3 linked regions of the Caenorhabditis elegans genome follow. The protein of the gene in region 1 purifies or fractionates together with the protein of each later gene. This does not show direct contact. Each region holds a gene or a part of one and is shown in the gene's direction. Other genes may lie near its edges.

Region 1 (7,579 bases):
TTTAAAGAAAAAAGGAACAAAAAGGGAAGCCCTGGTTATTACACAGACGCGAAATTCTTCAATGTTAAAAAGGTGTGCGCCTTTAAAGAGTACTGTAGTTTCAAACTTTGTGGAGTTTCATCGATTTTTTAATATTTCTCACGAAGAACAAAGAAAATTACAACAAGTAAAACTACAGTAATCTTTAAAGGCGCACATCTTTTTTACATTGAAGAAAAAATGTTATCGTGTCGAGACCAATTACAGTATTTTTGTATATGTAATACTACAAAAGACGTGGAAATGTTGCCAAAAAATTACGAATTTTAGCAGAATTTAACCAGAAAAATAATTTTTTTTTCCAAAAAAATGTATTTTTTCGCGTATGTGTAATAATAAAAATTTAAATTTTCAGATCGCAATGCCATTCCGCTACATGACGACACTTTTGCTCATTCAAGCCACTTTCTGGACTCTCCGAAGATTGGGAAAACTGAAGACCGCTCGAGAAGTCGAGTACAAGGTCCGAAGTGAATATGAGCTGAATAAGGCACATTACGGACGACGCTGGTATCGGTGAGCATTTTTTTTAGGGGAAAAATCCATTTTTTGACAAAAAAAACACATTTTTGTGGCTAAATTCTTCTAAAATTCCCAATTTTGGCAAAATTTCCATGTCGAATTTCACCGATTTTATGCCAATTTTGGTCGAAATAGAGCCTTAATAATCCTAAAAACGCGTAAAAATGACCAAAATCGAGCCCTAAAGCAGCATCGCACAGAAAAAGAGGCGGAGCGTAATTTCGCAACCCTGCGGCACGGTTTTTTCCTCATTTTTAAAAAAAGGTTTTTTTTTTCAATAAAATTTCGATTTTACTAGTTTTATTCACATTTTTCGAAAAAAGTGAATAAAACTAGTGAAATCGAAATTTTATTGGAAAAGATCAATTTTTCAAAAAGGAGGAAAAAATCGTGCCGCAGGGTTGCAAAAATACGCTCCGCATCTTTTTCTGTGCGGCGCTGCTTTAAAGCTCGATTTTGGTAGTTTTTACGCGTTTTTAAGCCTATATAGGCTCTATTTTGATCGAAATTGGCACAAAAATCAGTAAAATTCAAGGAAAAAGTGACAGAAATTGAAGATTTTGGCTAAAAATCCAATTTTTCGGGCTATTTTTCACTGAAAAACCCCCAAAATTTTCCATATTTTCCAGCTATCGCCACCTTGGAGTTCGAAGTGTGAGCCGTAAGAACAGTGTTCACGCGACAACTGCTCATATTGGACAAGTTCAACGATTACAGAAGGAGCATGAGAAGCTCAATGAGCCGACGACGACGAAACTCCATGATAATAATAATAATAAAAAGAAGGATGATTAATCTAATTAGATATTATTTTTCAGTGTTTTTTAGACTGTTTTTTCTTCTGTTAGGGTGCTTCCGAGTGTGTATAAATTGATTTTTCCCCCCGAAAAATTTGGCTTTAACTTTTTATTCATAAATCTGGTCATTTTCCCTAATTATTATTGCCAAAAAACACTAGAAAATTAATTTTCAATTGATTTCCTTGTTATACAGCCGCATGCTGAGCACAGTTTTTCGGCGAACAATGGCGACTGGACGGCATTTTGTAAGATTTTCGGGGGTTTTTTTTCCAGAAATTTCTGGGTCTCGACACGACAAATTAGAAAAAAAATTTTTTTTTTAATCGAGTTGTTTTGAAAAAAACTATGAAAAATCGATTTAAAAAATTCCGAAAGTTTGAAGCTACAGTACCACTCTTTAAAGGCGCATTATTAAAAAAACATGTAGCAAAAATTTTCGTGGTGAGACCTGCAGGTAATTTGCCGCTTTTGAACATTTCCGGCAAATTGGCAAATTGCTGGAAATTAAAATTTCTGGCAAATCAGCAAACCGGCAATTTGGCGGCAATGAAAATTTCTGGCAAATTCACAAATTGCCGGAACTAAAAAATTCCGGCAAATTGGCAAGTTGCCGCTTTTGAACATTTCCGGCAAATCGACAAACCGGCAATTTGTCGAAAATGAAAATTTCCGGCAAATTGGCAAGTTGCCGTTATGGAGCATTTCCGGCAAATTGACAAATTTAGTACTGTAGTTTTAAACTTTTTTATCGATTTGTTTAAAAACTATGAAAAGTCGATAAAAATTCCGAAAAAAACGAAAGTTTGAAGCTACAGTACCTCTCTTTAAAGGCGCACCCCTCAACGAAAAATTGTCGTGTCGAGACCCGCCGGGTACCGTAATTTTCGCGCAAAATACGAAATTTTAGTTAAATTTGGATTTTATAAACTTTTTTATCAAAATTGGGATAGTTTTAAATGGTATTTTTGAAAAAAAATATTTTTCCAATTTTTCAGTTTTTTCTGCGAATTTTTCACGGGGTTCTGGCCTTCCTCATTGATTTTTTCGCGCTCCATTGATAATCGCCTGCAGGACTCCACACGGACAAATACATTTAGTTTTACAATCGAGTCGCGACGCGACACGCAACGCGCCGTAAATCTACCCCAGATATGACCGAGCCAAAATGGCCTAGTTCAGCAAAACTGTTCCATTTCAATTTATGAGGGAAGCCAGAAATCCGCGTTTCCCAAAATTCGGTCGTTTCGAGACCCAAAAAAATAAGTTTTTTTCCAAATTTTTGCGAACCAAGAATATTTTCAGATCGCAGTATGTCAAATGACAAGCGACAACGATCTGGAAAAGAACTTTCAAGCCGCGAAAAATATGATCGAAAGAGCCGGAGAAAAGAAGTGCGAGGTAAAAATTCTACGGCTCCCGGAGCAAAGCTGCCGTCGAAAAAACGGGAATTTTTGGATTAAAAATAGGAAAAAAAAATTTCGAAAATTCCGAAAAATGTGGCAATTTTAATCATAAATCGAATAATTTTTAAAATCATGTAAAAAAAATGTTTCCAGATGGTTTTCCTACCAGAATGCTTCGATTTCATTGGGCTCAACAAAAATGAGCAAATCGATTTGGCGATGGCTACGGACTGTGAATATATGGAAAAATATCGGGAGTTGGCGAGAAAACACAATATTTGGCTTTCACTAGGAGGCCTTCATCACAAGGTTAATACTTGAAAAAATTAATAATGGCTGAACTTCAGAAGTTTAGGATCCATCAGACGCTGCTCATCCATGGAACACCCATCTGATCATAGATTCCGATGGAGTAACTCGTGCTGAGTACAACAAGCTTCACCTCTTCGATTTGGAGATTCCTGGAAAAGTACGATTGATGGAGAGCGAGTTCAGCAAGGCTGGCACTGAGGTTTTTTTTAAGTTTTCAATTCCGGCAATTTGCCGATTTGCCAGAAATTTTCAATTCCGGCAATTTGACCAATTTTCCGGAAATTTTCAATTCCGCAATTTGGCCAATTTGCCGGAAATTTTCAATTCCGGCAATTTGTCGATTGGCCATGAATTTTCAATTCCGGCAATTTGTCGATTTGCCAGAAATTTTCAATTCCGACAATTTGCCGATTTGCCAGAAATTTTCAATTCCGGCAATTTGTCGATTTGCCAGAAATGTTCAATTCCGACAATTTGCCGATTTGCCAGAAATTTTCAATTCCGGCAATTTGGCCAATTTGCCGGAAAGTTTCAATTCCGACAATTTGTCGATTTGCCATAAATTTTCAATTCCGGCAATTTGTCGATTTGCCAGAAATTCTCAATTTCGACAATTTGGCCAATTTGCCAGAAATTTTCAATTCCGGCAATTTGTCGATTTGCCAGAAATTCTCAATTCCGGCAATTTGGCCAATTTGCCGGAAATTTTCAATTCCGACAATTTGTGGATTTTCCAGAAATTTTCAATTCCGGCAATTTAGCCAATTTGTCAGAAATTTTCAATTCCGGCAATTTGGCCAATTTTCCAGAAATTTTCAATTCCGGCAATTTGTTAATTTGCCGGAAATTCTCAATTCCGGCAATTTAGCCAATTTGTCAGAAATTTTCAATTCCGGCAATTTGGCCAATTTGCCAGAAATTTTCAATTCCGGCAATTTGTTAATTTGCCGGAAATTTTCAATTCCGACAATTTGTCGATTTGCCAGAAATTTTCAATTCCGGCAATTTGCCGATTTGCCAGAAATTTTCAATTCCGGCAATTTGTCGATTTGCCAGAAATTTTCAATTCCGACAATTTGCCGATTTGCCAGAAATTTTCAATTCCGGCAATTTGTTAATTTGCCGGAAATTTTCAATTCCGACAATTTGTCGATTTGCCAGAAATTTTCAATTCCGGCAATTTGCCGATTTGCCAGAAATTTTCAATTCCGGCAATTTGCCGATTTGCCAGAAATTTTCAATTCCGGCAATTTGCCGATTTGCCAGAAATTTTCAATTCCGGCAATTTGTCGATTTGCCAGAAATCTTCGATTCCGGCAATTTGTCTGTCTACTCCGAGTTCCAGATGATTCCTCCAGTTGACACCCCTATCGGACGTCTCGGACTCTCAATTTGCTACGACGTTCGCTTCCCAGAGCTGTCCTTGTGGAACCGTAAACGCGGCGCCCAACTGCTCTCATTTCCAAGTGCATTCACACTGAATACAGGTCTTGCTCACTGGGAAACTCTGCTTCGTGCCCGGGCAATCGAGAATCAGTGCTATGTGGTGGCGGCTGCTCAAACTGGGGCCCACAATCCGAAACGACAGTCTTATGGGCATTCGATGGTTGTTGATCCGTGGGGCGCTGTTGTTGCACAGTGTTCCGAGAGAGTTGGTGCGGAATATTCTGAAAAACTTAAAACATTTTTTAAGTCTAAAATTTTTTAGAAAAGCCTAGAAAGTGCTAAATTTTCTAAAAGAAAATTGGAAAAAAAATTCTTAAAAAATTAGGAAAAAATCTAGAAAATTCTAAAAATTCTGGAAATTTGAAGAAATTCTAGAAATCTCTAGAATATTTAAAAATATATCTAAAAAATTCTAGAAAATTCAAAAAAAGTAAAAACCTTTTCAGGAATTAAAAAAAGGCTTTAAATTTCGAAAAATTTCTAGAATTTTCCTATAATTTTCTAAAATTCCGTTTTTTGTGCCATTGTTTTCAAATTTTTCAATGATTTGTATTACAGAAACACTAAATTCTGAGAATGCGTATTGCACAACATATTTGACGCGCAAAATATCTCGTAGCGAAAACTACAGTAATTCTTTAAATGACTACTGTAGCGCTTTTGTCGGTTTACGGGCTTCATTTTTGAAATGAATTTTCTCAATTTTCGCTTAATTAAGTACTCTAGCGATAAATCGATTCATTTAAAAAATTGAACCCGTAAATCGGCACAAGCACTACAGTAGTCATTTAAAGGATTACTGTAGTTTTCGCTTCGAGATATTTTGCGCGTCAAATATGTTGTGCAATACGTATTCTCAGAATTTAGGGTTCCTGTAATATGTAGAAATCATTGAAAAATAAAAAAAAATCTAAAATTTTATGGTTATTTTGGAATTTTTTTTTGAAAGTTCTAGAATTGAACGTTCTTTTAAAAAAAAAATTTATTATAAAAATAATCTAGAAAGTTCTAGAAAATTTCAGAAAAATCTGACATATTTCAATTCTTTAATGCTAAAAAAATTTTTCAAAACTTTCTCAAAAACTCTGAAATTTTTTAGAAAATTCTAAAAAAGATTTGAAAACTAGAGAATTTTAGAACATTGAAAAAAAAATTTTTTTTTGAAAAGTTTGTGAAATTTTTTTAATTCTAAAACATCTAGAAAATTTTAAAAAAAATTGAATTTTCTTAGACATATCTAGTAAATTCTAAAAAAATTCTGAAAAAATCTAGATAATTCTAGAATTGAAAAAAAAATTCTAATCCCTTTTAGAAAATTCTAGAAAATTCAAGAAAGGTCGGACCTTTTTTTTTAATTCTAAAAAATCTAGAAAATTCAAAAAAATTTTGAATTTTCTTAGAAATCTCTGGTAAATTCTTTGAAAAATTCTAAAAAATTCTATATAAATCAAAATTCTAGAATTAAAAAAATATATCTGGAAAATTCTAAAAAATTAGTAAATTCTAGAAAATTTAAGAAAAAAATTAGAAATTTTTTAGAAATGTCCGGAAAATTCTAAGAAATTCGAGAAGATTCTAGAATTAAAAAATAAATCTAAACAAATTTTAAACAAATTTAGAAAATTCTAGAAAATTTAAGAAAAGTCGGACCTTTTTTTGATTCTAAAAAATCTAGAAAACTCAAAAAAAAGTAGAAATTTCCAGAAAATTTTAAGAAATTCTAAAAATTCTTTAAAACATTAGACAAGCTTATTAATAGAAAAATTATCGATTTTTACTAAAATTAAACAAAAATCAATATTTTTCAGACATGTGCTTTGCTGAAATCGACTTGAGCTACGTGGACACTCTTCGTGAAATGCAACCAGTATTCTCCCACAGACGCTCCGATCTCTACACACTTCACATAAATGAAAAATCTTCTGAAACTGGTGGCCTGAAATTCGCCCGATTCAATATTCCAGCTGATCATATTTTCTACAGTACTCCGCACTCATTTGTATTTGTCAACTTGAAACCAGTCACTGATGGACGTTAGTGTGAAATTATTTATTTAAAAAAAAAATTAAAATTAAGCTAATTTCCCCCATTTTCAGACGTTCTTGTAAGCCCAAAACGAGTAGTCCCAAGATTGACCGACTTGACTGATGCTGAGACTGCCGACTTGTTCATCGTCGCGAAAAAGGTTCAAGCAATGCTGGAGAAGCATCATAATGTGACGTCGACGACGATTTGTGTGCAAGATGGGAAGGATGCTGGGCAGACTGTTCCAGTACGGGCTTTTTTCCGCAGCATTTTACCAATTTAATTTTGAACATTTTCAGCACGTTCACATTCATATCCTTCCCCGCCGCGCCGGAGACTTTGGCGATAACGAAATCTACCAAAAACTTGCGTCACATGATAAGGAGCCCGAGCGAAAGCCACGATCCAATGAACAGATGGCAGAAGAAGCGGTGGTGTATAGAAATCTTATGTAGAAACAATTGTGTGATTATTATATTTATGAATAAATAGATTATTATTATAATATTTTGAAATACAAGTACAGAGAAACGGGGAGAAAAGTGAAAAAAATCTACATGTTCGGAATGAATTACAAGCATATGAACCCGAAAGTGGTACTGCGATTTTGCGCTAAAAACTCGGAATTTTCATGGATTTTTCATCATAAAAATAAAAATCGATAAAAATCGACAGCAACGGAAATTTGAAATTACAGTGCTCATCACGTGGTGCCAGGCTGTCCCAACACGGTTTGATCTACAAAAAAATGCGGGAATTTTTTGCCCTTAAAAATGTGACGTCAACACGTTCTTAACCATGCGAAATCAGTTGAGAACTCTGCCGCATTTTTTGTAGATCTACGTAGATCAAGCCGAAATGAGTACTCATTTAAAGGCGCACCGCATTCAATGAAATATTTTGTTTCGTGTCGAGACCCGGTACCGTTCTTTCGGCGCCAAAATCCCAAAATTTCGCATATAGGTAATATATTAAACAATTAATTAGAAAATGTGATATCTAGCGGTTAGTCATAGAATAAGATAGGTGACG
Region 2 (8,019 bases), on another chromosome or scaffold:
ATACATTTTTATTAGGCGGTTTACAAATTTCCCACCGTTGCGCTTCAGTTTTATGTATTTTTAAATTTTCATTTCTGTCTAATTCACAGACTTTTGCTTGCTTCACTGTTTTGTATACTTTTTTTTGAAACACCGTACTTCACCGTGCCAAAATTTTTGCAAAAAATGTTTTAAAAAATTGTAACCAAATTTGTCTTGATTAGAAATTTTGACTTAGAAATTTTGAAAATTGATTGTTTTTAAAAAATCGGAAAAATTGAAAAAAACCCCAATATTAAATTTTATGTGAAAAAAACATATTAAAAGCGCTCAACTTGCATTTCAAATCGAGACTAACTTGAAATGTGAATAAATTTACCGATTGTAGAAAAACTTCAAAACTGCAAATTTAAGCAAAATTGCACCAGTTAACAGTTAAGCTATTAACGGCTTACGTTTGCTTAAAGTTTGCAAAAAAATGTTTAACTATTTCACTAAAACTTCATTAGGCGTTTCAATAAATTTTATATAATACAATGAGAAGCAATGTGAAAATCCAATAAAATTCAAATGAAAGATTGATAACATGCCTCATTTTACTATTGGTATGAGTTTTCTATTAGTATTGTAACAGTATTAACATGTAGCAATATTAACTGTAATTTCCCCATATATTTGTGGAGATTTTTATGCTTAAGGTGGATTTGAATGACTGTTCTCATGAGGAAATATGAACAACTTAATATTCAAATTTGTTTATATTTCCAATAATAAAAAAAAAATAAAAATAAAAAAAATTTCGCATGCTGAAAGACGCCGAAAGTTTTTTTTTCATCGTCGACCAATTTTTTTTAGCGAGTGACATTTGCCGTTTGCCGTTTGCAGCACCTAAAATAAATAAAAAATAAATAAAATTGTTGTTTAAACCTTTTTATTAGTGGAAAACGTAATAAGAAATTTGCAAATTTAATTAACCCAAGCTGAGTTTTTCTAAAAATTTGCTATATTCGCGATACATTTTTTTACTGTTTCAAGGAATCCTCATGGAGATTTTCAATAATTTACAGTTGATCCCATCTTCATCAATAATTTTGTCCTTCAAATTTTGGAATTTGTCGCGCGCACAACCCTGAATAATTGTTTATTATTTTTCTGTTAAGCCTAGTATCAGAAGATAAATTAAAAACGAAAAAACTCACTATTTTCAATTTCAAATAAATTCACGTTTTGTAGTCAGATCGGTTTTCCAAAATTAAAAAAAAATGTTATCAAAATATCTGTGCACTTTGAATCAGTCACACAATGTTCACAAATTCATCTCTAAATTCAAAAATTAATCTCAACCAGAAACGGTACTTGTAGTTTGTATCAGAATAATTTCCTACGTGTTTCTAGTAGATTTCTAGTTGGTTCATTGAACAATCATCTTGATGACTGCTAGAGATAAGACATAGAACAGCTAGTGATACCTTATCAATGTCATCCCCTTCTGTTGTCGATTGTCTTTTTCATTTTTGATTTTTGTGTTCAGTTCGTTATATAAATAGAGAGTAGTGGAAAACTGACAAAGTTCCTGCAAACTAAACCCGTCTGAGCCAAAATTAATTGTTTTCAAAACAGTTTTGTCACCTTTCCAAATAATCCTTTTCAAAAACAAAATTATTTTCAGTTTCACTGTGTGTTTATAAGTTTCACATTTTTCAGTTTTTTTTGGTTTTGCTACATCCGCGTTAGTTTTTTAACTTACAAATTTTCGCTGTATTTTTTTTTTAATTTTTACATTCCCCTTTTTAGAGCTGTGACAAAAAAAGTAATTTTTTCTGAAGCTAAAAATGTTTGCCCAAAAGTTTTCGTGCAACTTGTTTTCAAAGCTACAAAAATAGTGTCAAACTTGAAAAAAATTTAATTTTGCTATAGTTTAATTCAGCAAAAAATTGTATGTATGTAACTTTTTAATCCATACTACTGATTTGATTATATTGTTTGATTTTAAAAAAAAGTCAATATTTGCAGATCAAAAATCCCAAAAACCAAAATGTCCCCAAACTGTGGTTTAAAATGTCATGGTGGTCCAGGATATGCATCTCCAGCTGATGCTATAAAAGGACCACGAGAAGAAGTTTTATTTGTGACTGCTCCAAATGCAGCTGATGGTCCTGATGCCATTTTTACAGTTGATGTGAATCCAGAGAGTGACACTTTTTGTCAGGTAAATTTTATTTGTAAAGTTGATTTTTTTTCTTGTTTGGAGGAAAAAAATACTGTTTCAAAAAGACGTATTGAGTTTTAGGAATAACTAATTTTTTGATTGTCTTTTGTAGATCACGTCCATAAAGCTTGAAATAACTGTTTCTATATCAGAAAAATTGTTCAAATTACCGGAATAAAATTGCAATTTTGCAATTTTCATCTCTGTTGCATCAGCCAAAAATAAATCAGGAAACTTTGATTTGATCTCTCTGATTTCAAGGTTATCTCAAGCTTAAGAGTTTTAAATCGATTTGCACGATATATGATTGTATAGTAAAAATTAAAAATTATTATTTAATTGAAAAAATTATCGGTTTCAAAATATTGATATCCACTCGTAGTTTTAGCATTTAGAGATCGATCAATCATAACATTTTCCAGTAAAATTAATATTTTCAGGTGATCAGCCGAGTTGATGTGCCACATATTGGTGATGAAGTCCATCATACTGGATGGAATGCGTGCTCTTCTTGTCATGACAAACCAACTGAGAAGAGGTTAGTTAAAATATTTATTGTTTTAGGATGATACTATTACTCTATTAGTACAGGTGGCAAAATTAAATCAACTGTTCGAAACATCAAGTTTTGTTTAAAAATTTTTTTAATTAAATTTTCATTTTTGAAGTGTGGTTTTCCGACTTTTTTTTTTTAAAAAGTGGTCACAATAACATGTTTTTTTTTATTCTTCAAACAAAATCATCATATATTTGATAAATCTATAGATTCTCCCTTGTTTGTTTTTCTGATTTTTAGATTTTCTCAAGAAAAAACTGATAAACCTAAATTTTTCCACGACCCTTGATACGGATGCAAAAGCTTTGTAATAAAATCAGATCAGAGCGACATTCACGAGAAGATCATTTTTATAAATTTAGTTAGACTTGAACCAATTTCTTGAAACAGTTTTTTAATTCGAATTTACAAACTTCACATTTCAGTCAACTGAAAGATCAATAAATTTTTAGATCGGAGAACTTTCATTAACAAACCAAAACAGTAGAATAATTTCTAAATAATTTCAGATCCCATTTGATCGTTCCTTGCCTGAACTCTGACCGTATCTACATTATCAACGTAGAAAATGAGCGTAAAATCTATCTTGAACATACAATTGAACCATCAAAACTTCATTCTCTAAACCTTTCATTTCCACATACTTCACATTGTCTTGCCGATGGAAATATTATGATTAGTACTTTGGGAGAAGCTAATGGAACTCCATCTGGTAACTTTTTGTTGTTGGATGGAAAGACATTTGAGCCGAAAGGAACATGGCCAGCTGACGAGAAGACTGTTCCGTTTAACTATGATTTCTGGTACCAGCCAAGGAGAAATGTGATGATTTCTACGGAATGGGGATCACCGAATCATATTAAAAAGGGATTTAATCCAGGTGGGAAAACTGAAAATACTTTTAAAAAATCACTGTTTCAACACCTCTTGTTTCATTTTACCAAAAATTAAAATTATTCCTTGCGGCATGAGCCATCAGCATCACTAAAAACCAAAAAGTTACAAATTTTTTTAAAACATGAAATTTTCCAGCTCACGTCGGAGAGGGTCTCTACGGAAACAGTGTTCATATTTTCGAATGGGACTCTAAGAAATATCTTCAAACAATTGATCTACCACAGCCACTTGGAGCACTTCCACTTGAAGTTCGATTCCTCCATGAGCCAACCAGTGAGCACGCTTTTGTGGGATGTGCTCTTGGATCAGGAATTTTTAGAATTCATCCTGTTGAGGAGGTGAGTAATATTCAATAGAATTTTCAGAAAAATTGAAATGTTTCAATAAGTTATTATTTGTTTAGAAACTGAGATTAATATGTTAAAACCGTAGAATAGAATCAAGATTAAAATTATTGTAAAACTAATTTGCCGAGCTCGGAAAATTTTGAGAACTGCCGCACATCCTTGATTGGGAGGTAGCAAAGTTTCCAAAACTGTTGCTTCTTCCAGAGTACTCAAATTTTATTCCATGAAAACTCTTCAGTAGAGTGTTTGATTTTTCAAAAGTTTCAGTCAATTGAAAATGGTTAAACAGTTTTGGAGATCAATGCCGTGATTTTACGAAAACATTGAAACATTCAAAAAACTTTTCAGTTTCAATTTGTCCTCATAACACACTCTGTTGTTTTTAGTTTAGTTCTGTTGGTATTCCTGTCATCTATTGAAATAGATCCGGTTTTTAGAATTCATCCTGTTGAGGAGGTGAGTAATATTGAAAAGAATTTTTAGAAAACTTTTAGAAAACTGTTTCAATAGGTTATCATATTGTATCTTATTGGAAGTTTATTTCATTTGCTAATCCAAAAAAACGTATGAAATCAAATATAAATGATCTTCGTAGGGGGAGTTGACAATTTATCAATAGTACTGATATTTTCGTTGTCAGTAATTGAATAGCAGTGTTGTAAGCTGATGTGTAACTTTCTGGGATCACCGAAACATTGCATTAGAAACTTTCAAGTTTAAAAATAAATAAATTGTTTCAATACGTTGTTATCAAAACTTCCGTTCTATTCAATTGATTTTTTTTCATTCCCGAAGTTTTCTGAGCAAGTTCTTTGGCAAAATGACTAACTTTCGAGAAAAATGTGGACATTTTGAGAAAATCAGAGCGCTTTCGTACATTTCAAATCCTTTAATGCTTTGGCATACATGATTAGGGCATAATTTGAATTTGAAATTCAGAGAAAGTTGTGTAGACCAAACTGCTATTTTTCTTTTTTTTCATTTGGAAGAACCAATATTAATTCAAAATAGTTTCAGTATTTATAGACTACTTGAAACATATAATAATTTTTAAAAAATATCTTTGAGTGTTTTTAATAATTTATTTTTAAATCAGTTTATAGATTCATTAAACGTTTAACAATGATGCAAATACTAAAAACGTATTTTTCCGAGTTTTTTAAAATTAGGTTAGTGAAACAGTAGATTTTTGATGAACCTTTTTTTAAAAAGCAGCATGCATTTAGTTTTGACAAAAAGTTCAAATCGATTTTTTCTGCGTGACTGTGAATCAAGAAAACTCGGTCAATTAAAGAAAGAAAAAATATTTTTTTTTCGACACTAAAAAATAATTTTAAAGCGCGGACATTATAGTCTCAGTGAAACTTTATTCAAACCAAAACGTTTAATCAGCTAATTGAAACATTAAAAATTTTATGATTTTGTTAGTTTTTCTAGCAATGTCAATGCAATCAAATAATTTTCAAGTAAGATGTTTAATGAGTTATAGACTTTTTTATTAAATTTTTGAAAAAAAAACCGATTTCAGATTTAAGTAAAATTATCTCTGCTTCTGCTGCATTGCTGCGAAACAAAAATTCCTTTCTGTGCAAAGTATAGTCTCACTGGAAATCAAGTTCGAGTGACAATTAGAAATCTCACCGGGTTTTCTAGATCATCTGAAACATATAATTTTAAAAAATTGACACCTTGTTCAACTTGAAACATTTAATCAGCCAATCGAAACATTAAATGTCTCATGATTTTTAAAGCTCTTTTAGAACAGTCGATAAGTCACGCCACAGTTCAATTGAAAACAATTTTCTAGCGAGATGTTAAATGAGTTTGTTGAAACAGTAGATTTTCGTGTAAACTTTTGAAAACAAAAATTACGTTTTAAATAAAATTATATCCACTTCAGCAGTGTGCCCTTGAAACAAAAAAGCTCGATCAAAAAATTTATTTTTTGTGAATGGCCACCAACTTTTCAGGCAAAATTACAAAAAAACATAAAATTTACTGTTTCAAAAAGTTAATATAATTTTGGCAGCGCATATACCTACACTTATTTCGACAGTTCGCGATAACCTCTTTTTGAAAATAAAGTTTTTCAGAAAAGTTGCTTCTTTCCTGTTCTCGAGGTGTTCTTTTAACACACTTTGTATTTTTTTTCTTGTAAAATCTCAAAATTCTGATAGTCAGTATGAAAATAGTTGCCAAATGTTTGTTGAATACTACTGAAAACAAATCTTCAGTGATACGTTGAATGAGAAACATTCAATTTTTCAAATAATTCCAGAACTCAACAACCCATGCAGCTACTCTCGTTGCCTTCATTCCTTCTAAAAAAGTAAGTGGATGGGCTCTTCCAGAAATGCCAGCTCTTATAACTGATATCCTTATCTCAATGGATGATCGTTTCCTGTATGTCTCGTGTTGGCTTCATGGAGATATTCGTCAATATGACATTTCTGATCCATTGAAGGTGAAATTGAATTCTCAAGTTTATATTGGAGGAAGTGTACATACGGAATCAAATGTAAAAGTTCTAGAAGGTGAAAAACCAATTGAAGCACTTTATGTGAAGGGACGGAAAATTGAAGGAGGTCCACAGATGTTACAGTTGTCATTGGATGGAAAGAGACTTTATGTTACAACTTCTTTATACAAGAAATGGGATGATCAATTCTATCCAGAACATGTCAAGTGAGTGCTACTTATGAAAAAATTTAGAATTATTTCTGAGAAAAAAGTTACCGTTTCATAAATGTAGTATATTTTGAGCAAACTATTTCCGCTCACTTGTGGGGCTATTCGCGAAATGTAATTCTTTTTTATTCATTTTATTCATTGAACCTTTGTCCTTACGAAACAAATTATCTCGAATTTTGTAGTTTACACTAAAAATACGCTCATGGTGAAATTATTGTTTAGAAAAAAAATCACCGTTTCAAAAATCTTTCATATTTGCAGCGATTCTCTCTCACTTGCTGAGTTGATTTTATCACGAATTCATGTTTTTCTTTGTTTTTCTAGTCTAAATAATTTTTAAAAAAAAGAACAACTATGAGAAATCGATAAAACAGTTCAATAGCTGCAGCACCGAAAGTTTGAAATTACACTACTCTTTAAAGGCGCACACACGTTTTCCGTTGAAAAAATAGTCACGTCGAGACTTGGTAATGTTTCTTTTCGTCCGCTTAATAATTCATGATAATTTCAAAAAAAAAACACCAAATTCGTCCTACTTTCTCAATGGAGCGCGTTTGCAACCCTGTCATTTTTCAGATCTGGCGCCACAATGGTTCAAGTCAACATTGATCCAGAATCTGGAAAAATGGAAATAAATCGAGACTTTTTGATCGATTTTGGAAAAATTGAAGGAGGTCCCTATTTGGCTCACGAGATGCGTTATCCCGGTGGAGATTGTACATCGGATATTTGGATTTAATTTGGTTTTTTTTAAAATGTTTTGCATAAAAAATTAGCTTGTACATATTCATCACAATTCATTCAGATTTTCAAAAAAAAATTGAAAGGATTTTTCAACTCATGATGCAACTAGAAAAACGGGGGAAACCAGGCGAATAAATATTGAAAAAAGGGGATTTTTGTAATGTGAACGAAGCAATCATCATATATGGTACAAAGAATGTGGCGAGTTGAAATCACGGGAATTTAGTAGAATTGCACAAAAAAATTATGGATTAGAAAGTAGGAAGAAAATATATGAACATCCGGAATTCTCCTCAATAAAAACTGGCTCCTTTTATCGATTGTCTTTTTCATTTTTGATTTTTTGTTCAGTTCATTATATGAATAGACAGTAGTGGAAAACTAACAAAGTTCCTGCAAACTAAACCCGTCTGAGCCAAAATTAATTGTTTTCAAAACAGTTTTGTCACCTTTCCAAATAATCCTTTTCAAAAACAAAATTATTTTCAGTTTCACTGTGTGTTTATAAGTTTTAAAAATGAAAGACATTTGATTCAAATGACCTACAACTTTTCTGAATATCTCAAAAATGAAAACTCAAAAAAGATGATCACTCG
Region 3 (5,004 bases), 6.1 Mb from region 1:
TACCCTAAACGTTTTAAAACTTTCAAATTCCAGGTACAAAATGGAAACGTACAAGACTATGAAATCGCCATCTCTGAAGCTAAAAAGGCTTATAACGATTGGTGCGAGGTACCAGCACCACGACGTGGAGAAATCGTCCGTCAAATCGGAGACAAGCTCCGTACGCAGTTGCAAAACCTGGGAAAGCTCGTGTCCCTCGAGATGGGAAAAATTTCTGCCGAAGGAGTTGGAGAAGTTCAAGAATACGTCGATATTTGCGACTACGCTACTGGACTCTCTAGATCACTTGAAGGAAAAATCTTTCCTTCTGAGCGTCCAGGACACGCTCTTCTCGAACAATGGAATCCACTTGGAGTTGTTGGTGTGATTTCGGCTTTCAATTTCCCATGTGCAGTGTATGGATGGAATAACGCTTTAGCTCTTGTCACAGGAAATTCTGTTGTCTGGAAGCCAGCTCCATCCACACCATTGACAGCTATTGCTGTGACCAAGTAAGCTCGCTTATTTCATAATTGTAATCACTAAATAACTATTTTCAGACTTGTCGAGGAGGTTCTTGTTGCCAATAATGTAAATCCAGCTCTCTGTTCCCTTGTCTGTGGAGAGGGTGATGTCGGTCAAGCTCTTGTGAAGGATAAGAGAGTCAATCTAGTTTCATTCACCGGTTCATCAGAAATTGGAAAGATCGTTGGACAACAAGTTCAGGCTCGTTTCGGAAAGCTTCTACTCGAGCTCGGTGGAAACAATGCTATCATTGTTAACGAGGATGCTGATTTGAACATGGTTGTACCGGCAACAGTTTTCGCCGCCGTTGGAACTGCTGGACAGAGATGTACAACCACGAGAAGACTCATTGTTCACGATAAGGTTTACGATCAAGTTCTCGAGAGATTGAAGAAAGCTTATGCTCAATTTGAATCAAGAATCGGATGTCCATTGGATTCCAACACAATTATTGGCCCACTTCACAACCAACAGGCCGTTGGAAAGTACAAGGCTTCAGTTGCCGAAGCAGTTGCTTCTGGAGGAAAGATTGAGTACGGTGGAAAAGTTCTTGAGAGGGATGGAAACTTTGTTCTCCCAACAATTGTCACTGGATTGAAGCACGATTCTCCAGTTGTTCTTCGCGAGACTTTTGCCCCAATTCTCTATGTTCTGAAGTTCTCAACCCTCGAGGAAGCTATTGCAATCAATAATGAAGTTGATCAAGGATTGAGTTCTTCTCTATTTACAACAAATATTCAAAATGTTTTCAAATGGATGGGGTGAGATTTTCTGAAATTGTGAATTTAAAACTAACATTTAATTTTCAGACCAAAAGGAAGTGACTGTGGAATCGTCAATGTCAACATTCCCACATCTGGCGCAGAGATCGGAGGAGCCTTCGGCGGAGAAAAGGAGACCGGTGGAGGTCGCGAATCAGGATCCGACTCCTGGAGGCAGTACATGAGACGATCCACCTGCACGATCAATTACAGCAAGGAACTTCCTTTGGCTCAGGGAATTAAATTCGAATAGCTTAGTTTAGATTTTCTGTAAATATTCATTTCTCATTCAATTTGAGATGTTTTTTTTTCATGCATAATTATTCTCAGTTCCGTTCTAAAATTGCGTGTAATTCAACTCTTGTCCTCTCCTTTTGTGATTTGAATTTTTGTGCCATATCATTCCAAATGCTTAGTTTTTTTTTTAATGTTTGTTCAATAAACTTCCTTTTTTATTCATTCCACAAAATAAAGTGCAACATATTTTCAGCATATATGTCATAAAATTGACGAGACTGGTGAAAAACCGTACGCATACTTGAAAACCGATAAGCTGATTGGTTTCATCACTTTAAGTCATTTCCTAAAACTATAAATTCAATTTCACGCAGATTCTTCTCCGAATCTTCCGCTTGTTTTCTGCCCCAACGCAAGTTTTACTTTTTTTAAATACAATTATTATAATGATGGCATTTTTGTATGTTTAGGTGATGCCTGTTTTATAAATTAAGAGTTTTTTCTAAAAATGTTTTTAAACAACTTTAAACTAATCCACTTAGAAAGTCTGTCAAATTGAATTTTATTGATTGTTTTGGAAACAAACAAACCTCACAATTACAAAAACGCTTTCATTGTAAATATTGACGAATTTATCTCGAATATATTTATTTTTCTCTTAAAATAACTATTTTTACAGCATAAAAAGTGCCCGAAAAATGGCAACTGAAGCTGTCTACGGAAGTTGGGATAGTCCGATCACACCAGATCTCTTCGGAAAATGTAATTGCAAGTCTATCTGCGAGATGCAAGTTGTCGGTGGCAATGTCTACTGGATTGAACAGAATTCAGTAACTGGAAAACGAGAGCTTTACTCAAAACCAACGAATGGAGATACTCGTACACGCTGGGCTGATGGTCAATCTGTTCAAACTGCAATTCACGAGTACGGAGGAGGTGCTCTACATGTTCTTGCTGATGGATCAGTGCTGTTTGCTACGATCGAAGGAGTTTTCTATCAAAAGTCGGCGGATTCCGGAGTTGAGCAATTGGCAGAAGGAAATAATCGAATGTTTAGGTCAGGGATAATTTAAATGGTGTATAACTTTCAAAAATAAATAAAAAACATTTTCAGATTCTCCGACTTCTCAGCCACTGACACCCATGTATTTTGTGTTAATGAAACCCACCAAGCTGATGCAAAATTTCCCGAAAATCGACTAATCTCCATCGACCGAGCAACCAAGAATCAAAACGTCATAGCTCACGGAGCCGACTTTTACGCCTATCCAAGAGTCTCCCCGGATGGAAAAAAGCTTGTCTGGATGCAATGGAGCCTTCCAAATATGCCATGGGACGAGACATCCATCCGAATGGCTGATCTCAAAGGTGGAGAATCCAGCAATGAGGTGACGCTGAAGGACGGAACTGGAAAACAAATCAACTATTCCGAACCAACTTGGGATGGTGATGAGCTTTTAACTGTGAATGATAGCACAAACTGGTGGAATGTGTATAAATCAGCTGCAGAGCCAAATTCCGTCGAGAAGAACCTGAATCCAATTCAACGAGAGATCAGCTACCCGCTTTGGCAGCTTGGTTTCAGAAATTATGTTCTGAATAAAAAATATTTGGTGAGAATTTTAGATTGGAAATTCAAAACATTCTTCAAATATTTTAAACCTAAGTTTACAATTTTCAATATAATTAGTTGAACTAAACACAAAAATTCGAATTTTTAAATTGACCTAATGAAATTTAAATATTTCAGGTAATGAACGCAGACGGAATTTTGTATGTCCGATCGGGAGATGTTACTGTAGAGATTCCAACTCCAGGCTATACTGTATTTGGATATCTTTCACTCGACCAGAATGGTTCTGATCTTTTCGCAATTGCTTCTGGACCAAAACGAGCTTCAAGCGTTATTTCCATCGATCTCGCGAACAAAAATTTCCCATTAAAAGTTCATCGCGAATCCCGAGATTCTTCGGAAATCGACGCTCTCGAGATTTCGGAACCAGAAGAATTTGTGTTCAAATCGGATGGAGTTGATGTTTCTGGTTATTTTTATCCACCGAAAAACTGTTCATATTCTGCTCCAGCTGGAACACTTCCTCCAGTTTTACTTCTCGGACATGGTGGCCCGACGGCTCCAGCTCAGAATAATTTGGATCTTAAAAAACAGTTCTTCACGTCGAGAGGTATTGCTGTTTTTGATGTAAATTATCGAGGATCAACTGGATTTGGAACTGAATTCCGGAGAATGCTTTATAAAAATTGTGGAGTAGCTGATAGAGATGATATGTTGAATGGAGCAAAAGCACTTGTTGAGCAAGGAAAAGTGGATGCCGAAAAAGTTCTGATCACTGGAAGTTCATCTGGAGGGTAGGAATTTAATATTATAGTCATTGTTAAAGTTTTATAAATATTTTTATTCAGGTATCTGATTCTGAGCTGTCTTATCTCACCGAAAAATATCATAAAAGCAGCAGTTTCTGTGTATGGAGTTGCTGATCTATTGGCTTTAGATGAAGATACTCATAAACTGGAAAGATGTTACAATGAGATGCTTATCGGAAAATATCCTGAGCAAGCGAGCATTTACGAAGAAAGAAGTCCCATTTATCATATTGATAAAATTAGAACTCCTATTGCATTCTTGCATGGAAGGGAGGATACGGTAGTACCGATGAGCCAATCTATCACAATGTATGAGAAGATCCGTGCTAGTGGAGTTACAACTGCTCTGATGCTTTTCGATGGAGAAGGACATGGATTTAGGAATGGACAAGTGATCAAGGAAAGCACCGAAGCCACTTTCTACTTTTTGATGAAGGCCGTTGGAATTGAACCATCAATTAGTTCGAAGATCGAAATTGTTAATCCGAAGCATTAGATTTGTTTTTGTTTAAATTGTTATCTATAAAATTTCAGCTTTTAAAAAATGCATTGCTTTATTTATTTGAAAACCAAATAAATTATAGAAATTAATATTCACAGAGAAACTGAAGATTGGATATCACGACGCGATTAAATAGTAGAAATTATGATTGGGAAGGATCAACATTGATTTGCCTATTGCATGTTGGAGAGGACAGTTGACAGACGTTCGTAGAATGTAGAGTAGAGAGTGGTGGCCTGGTAGATGCTCGAAGTGTCGGCAAACTCGCTGAAATCAAGAAAATAAATGATGTGATTTAAAAGTTAAATCCCTACCGAATCGAGTGCATAGCCAACTGTGGGCATCCTACATCGACAGTCTGCAAGCCAAGTTTTGTGGCAAGAATCGGTCCAACCGTCGATCCACAAGGAGAATCATTGCGAACGACGACAACTTGAAGAGGAACTTGAGCTTCGAATGCAACTTGCTTGAGAGCAGCGTGTGTGGTTGAAGTTGTTGCATATCGTTGATTGACGTTTACTTTGACGACGACTCCACCATGGAATGCTGGACGATGGTTCTCTTCGTGTTTTGCCGAATAGTTTGGATGCGTGGCATGAGCTTGATCTGCAGAGATGA

The links. Proteins that work in one complex are often made in the same cells at the same time.
Region 2: the proteins of nft-1 (region 1) and semo-1 fractionate together in Caenorhabditis elegans (co-fractionation; one large-scale study listed by BioGRID). This does not show direct contact.
Region 3: the proteins of nft-1 (region 1) and dpf-4 fractionate together in Caenorhabditis elegans (co-fractionation; one large-scale study listed by BioGRID). This does not show direct contact.

What each region holds. Positions count from the first base shown.
Region 1 is NC_003281.10:11,922,332-11,929,910, forward strand, and holds nft-1 (Nitrilase homolog), read left to right. Parts: upstream 1-1,554; 5' UTR 1,555-1,558; coding exon 1,559-1,606; intron 1,607-2,663; coding exon 2,664-2,759; intron 2,760-2,917; coding exon 2,918-3,073; intron 3,074-3,119; coding exon 3,120-3,275; intron 3,276-4,421; coding exon 4,422-4,731; intron 4,732-6,330; coding exon 6,331-6,555; intron 6,556-6,618; coding exon 6,619-6,794; intron 6,795-6,846; coding exon 6,847-7,002; 3' UTR 7,003-7,047; downstream 7,048-7,579. Other genes in the region: Y56A3A.22 (DUF1279 domain-containing protein), read left to right, coding at 395-555, 1,191-1,356; dolk-1 (dolichol kinase), read right to left, coding at 7,558-7,579. UniProt on the Caenorhabditis elegans protein: Cleaves A-5'-PPP-5'A to yield AMP and ADP.
Region 2 is NC_003282.8:14,049,208-14,057,226, forward strand, and holds semo-1 (Methanethiol oxidase), read left to right. Parts: upstream 1-1,992; 5' UTR 1,993-2,014; coding exon 2,015-2,188; intron 2,189-2,287; exon of another isoform or gene 2,288-2,308; intron 2,309-2,586; exon of another isoform or gene 2,587-2,607; intron 2,608-2,628; coding exon 2,629-2,726; intron 2,727-2,741; exon of another isoform or gene 2,742-2,762; intron 2,763-2,788; exon of another isoform or gene 2,789-2,810; intron 2,811-3,067; exon of another isoform or gene 3,068-3,088; intron 3,089-3,160; exon of another isoform or gene 3,161-3,185; intron 3,186-3,253; coding exon 3,254-3,624; intron 3,625-3,701; exon of another isoform or gene 3,702-3,722; intron 3,723-3,776; coding exon 3,777-3,979; exon of another isoform or gene 3,980-4,444; intron 4,445-4,529; exon of another isoform or gene 4,530-4,554; intron 4,555-4,617; exon of another isoform or gene 4,618-4,638; intron 4,639-4,764; exon of another isoform or gene 4,765-4,785; intron 4,786-4,961; exon of another isoform or gene 4,962-4,983; intron 4,984-5,101; exon of another isoform or gene 5,102-5,122; intron 5,123-5,287; exon of another isoform or gene 5,288-5,308; intron 5,309-5,325; exon of another isoform or gene 5,326-5,346; intron 5,347-5,588; exon of another isoform or gene 5,589-5,609; and 20 more.
Region 3 is NC_003281.10:5,857,432-5,862,435, forward strand, and holds dpf-4 (Peptidase S9 prolyl oligopeptidase catalytic domain-containing protein), read left to right. Parts: upstream 1-1,876; 5' UTR 1,877-1,914; intron 1,915-2,181; 5' UTR 2,182-2,200; coding exon 2,201-2,559; intron 2,560-2,616; coding exon 2,617-3,115; intron 3,116-3,252; coding exon 3,253-3,869; intron 3,870-3,923; coding exon 3,924-4,380; 3' UTR 4,381-4,477; downstream 4,478-5,004. Other genes in the region: alh-9 (Putative aldehyde dehydrogenase family 7 member A1 homolog), read left to right, coding at 34-491, 540-1,265, 1,314-1,518; dnpp-1 (Aspartyl aminopeptidase), read right to left, coding at 4,560-4,653, 4,701-5,004.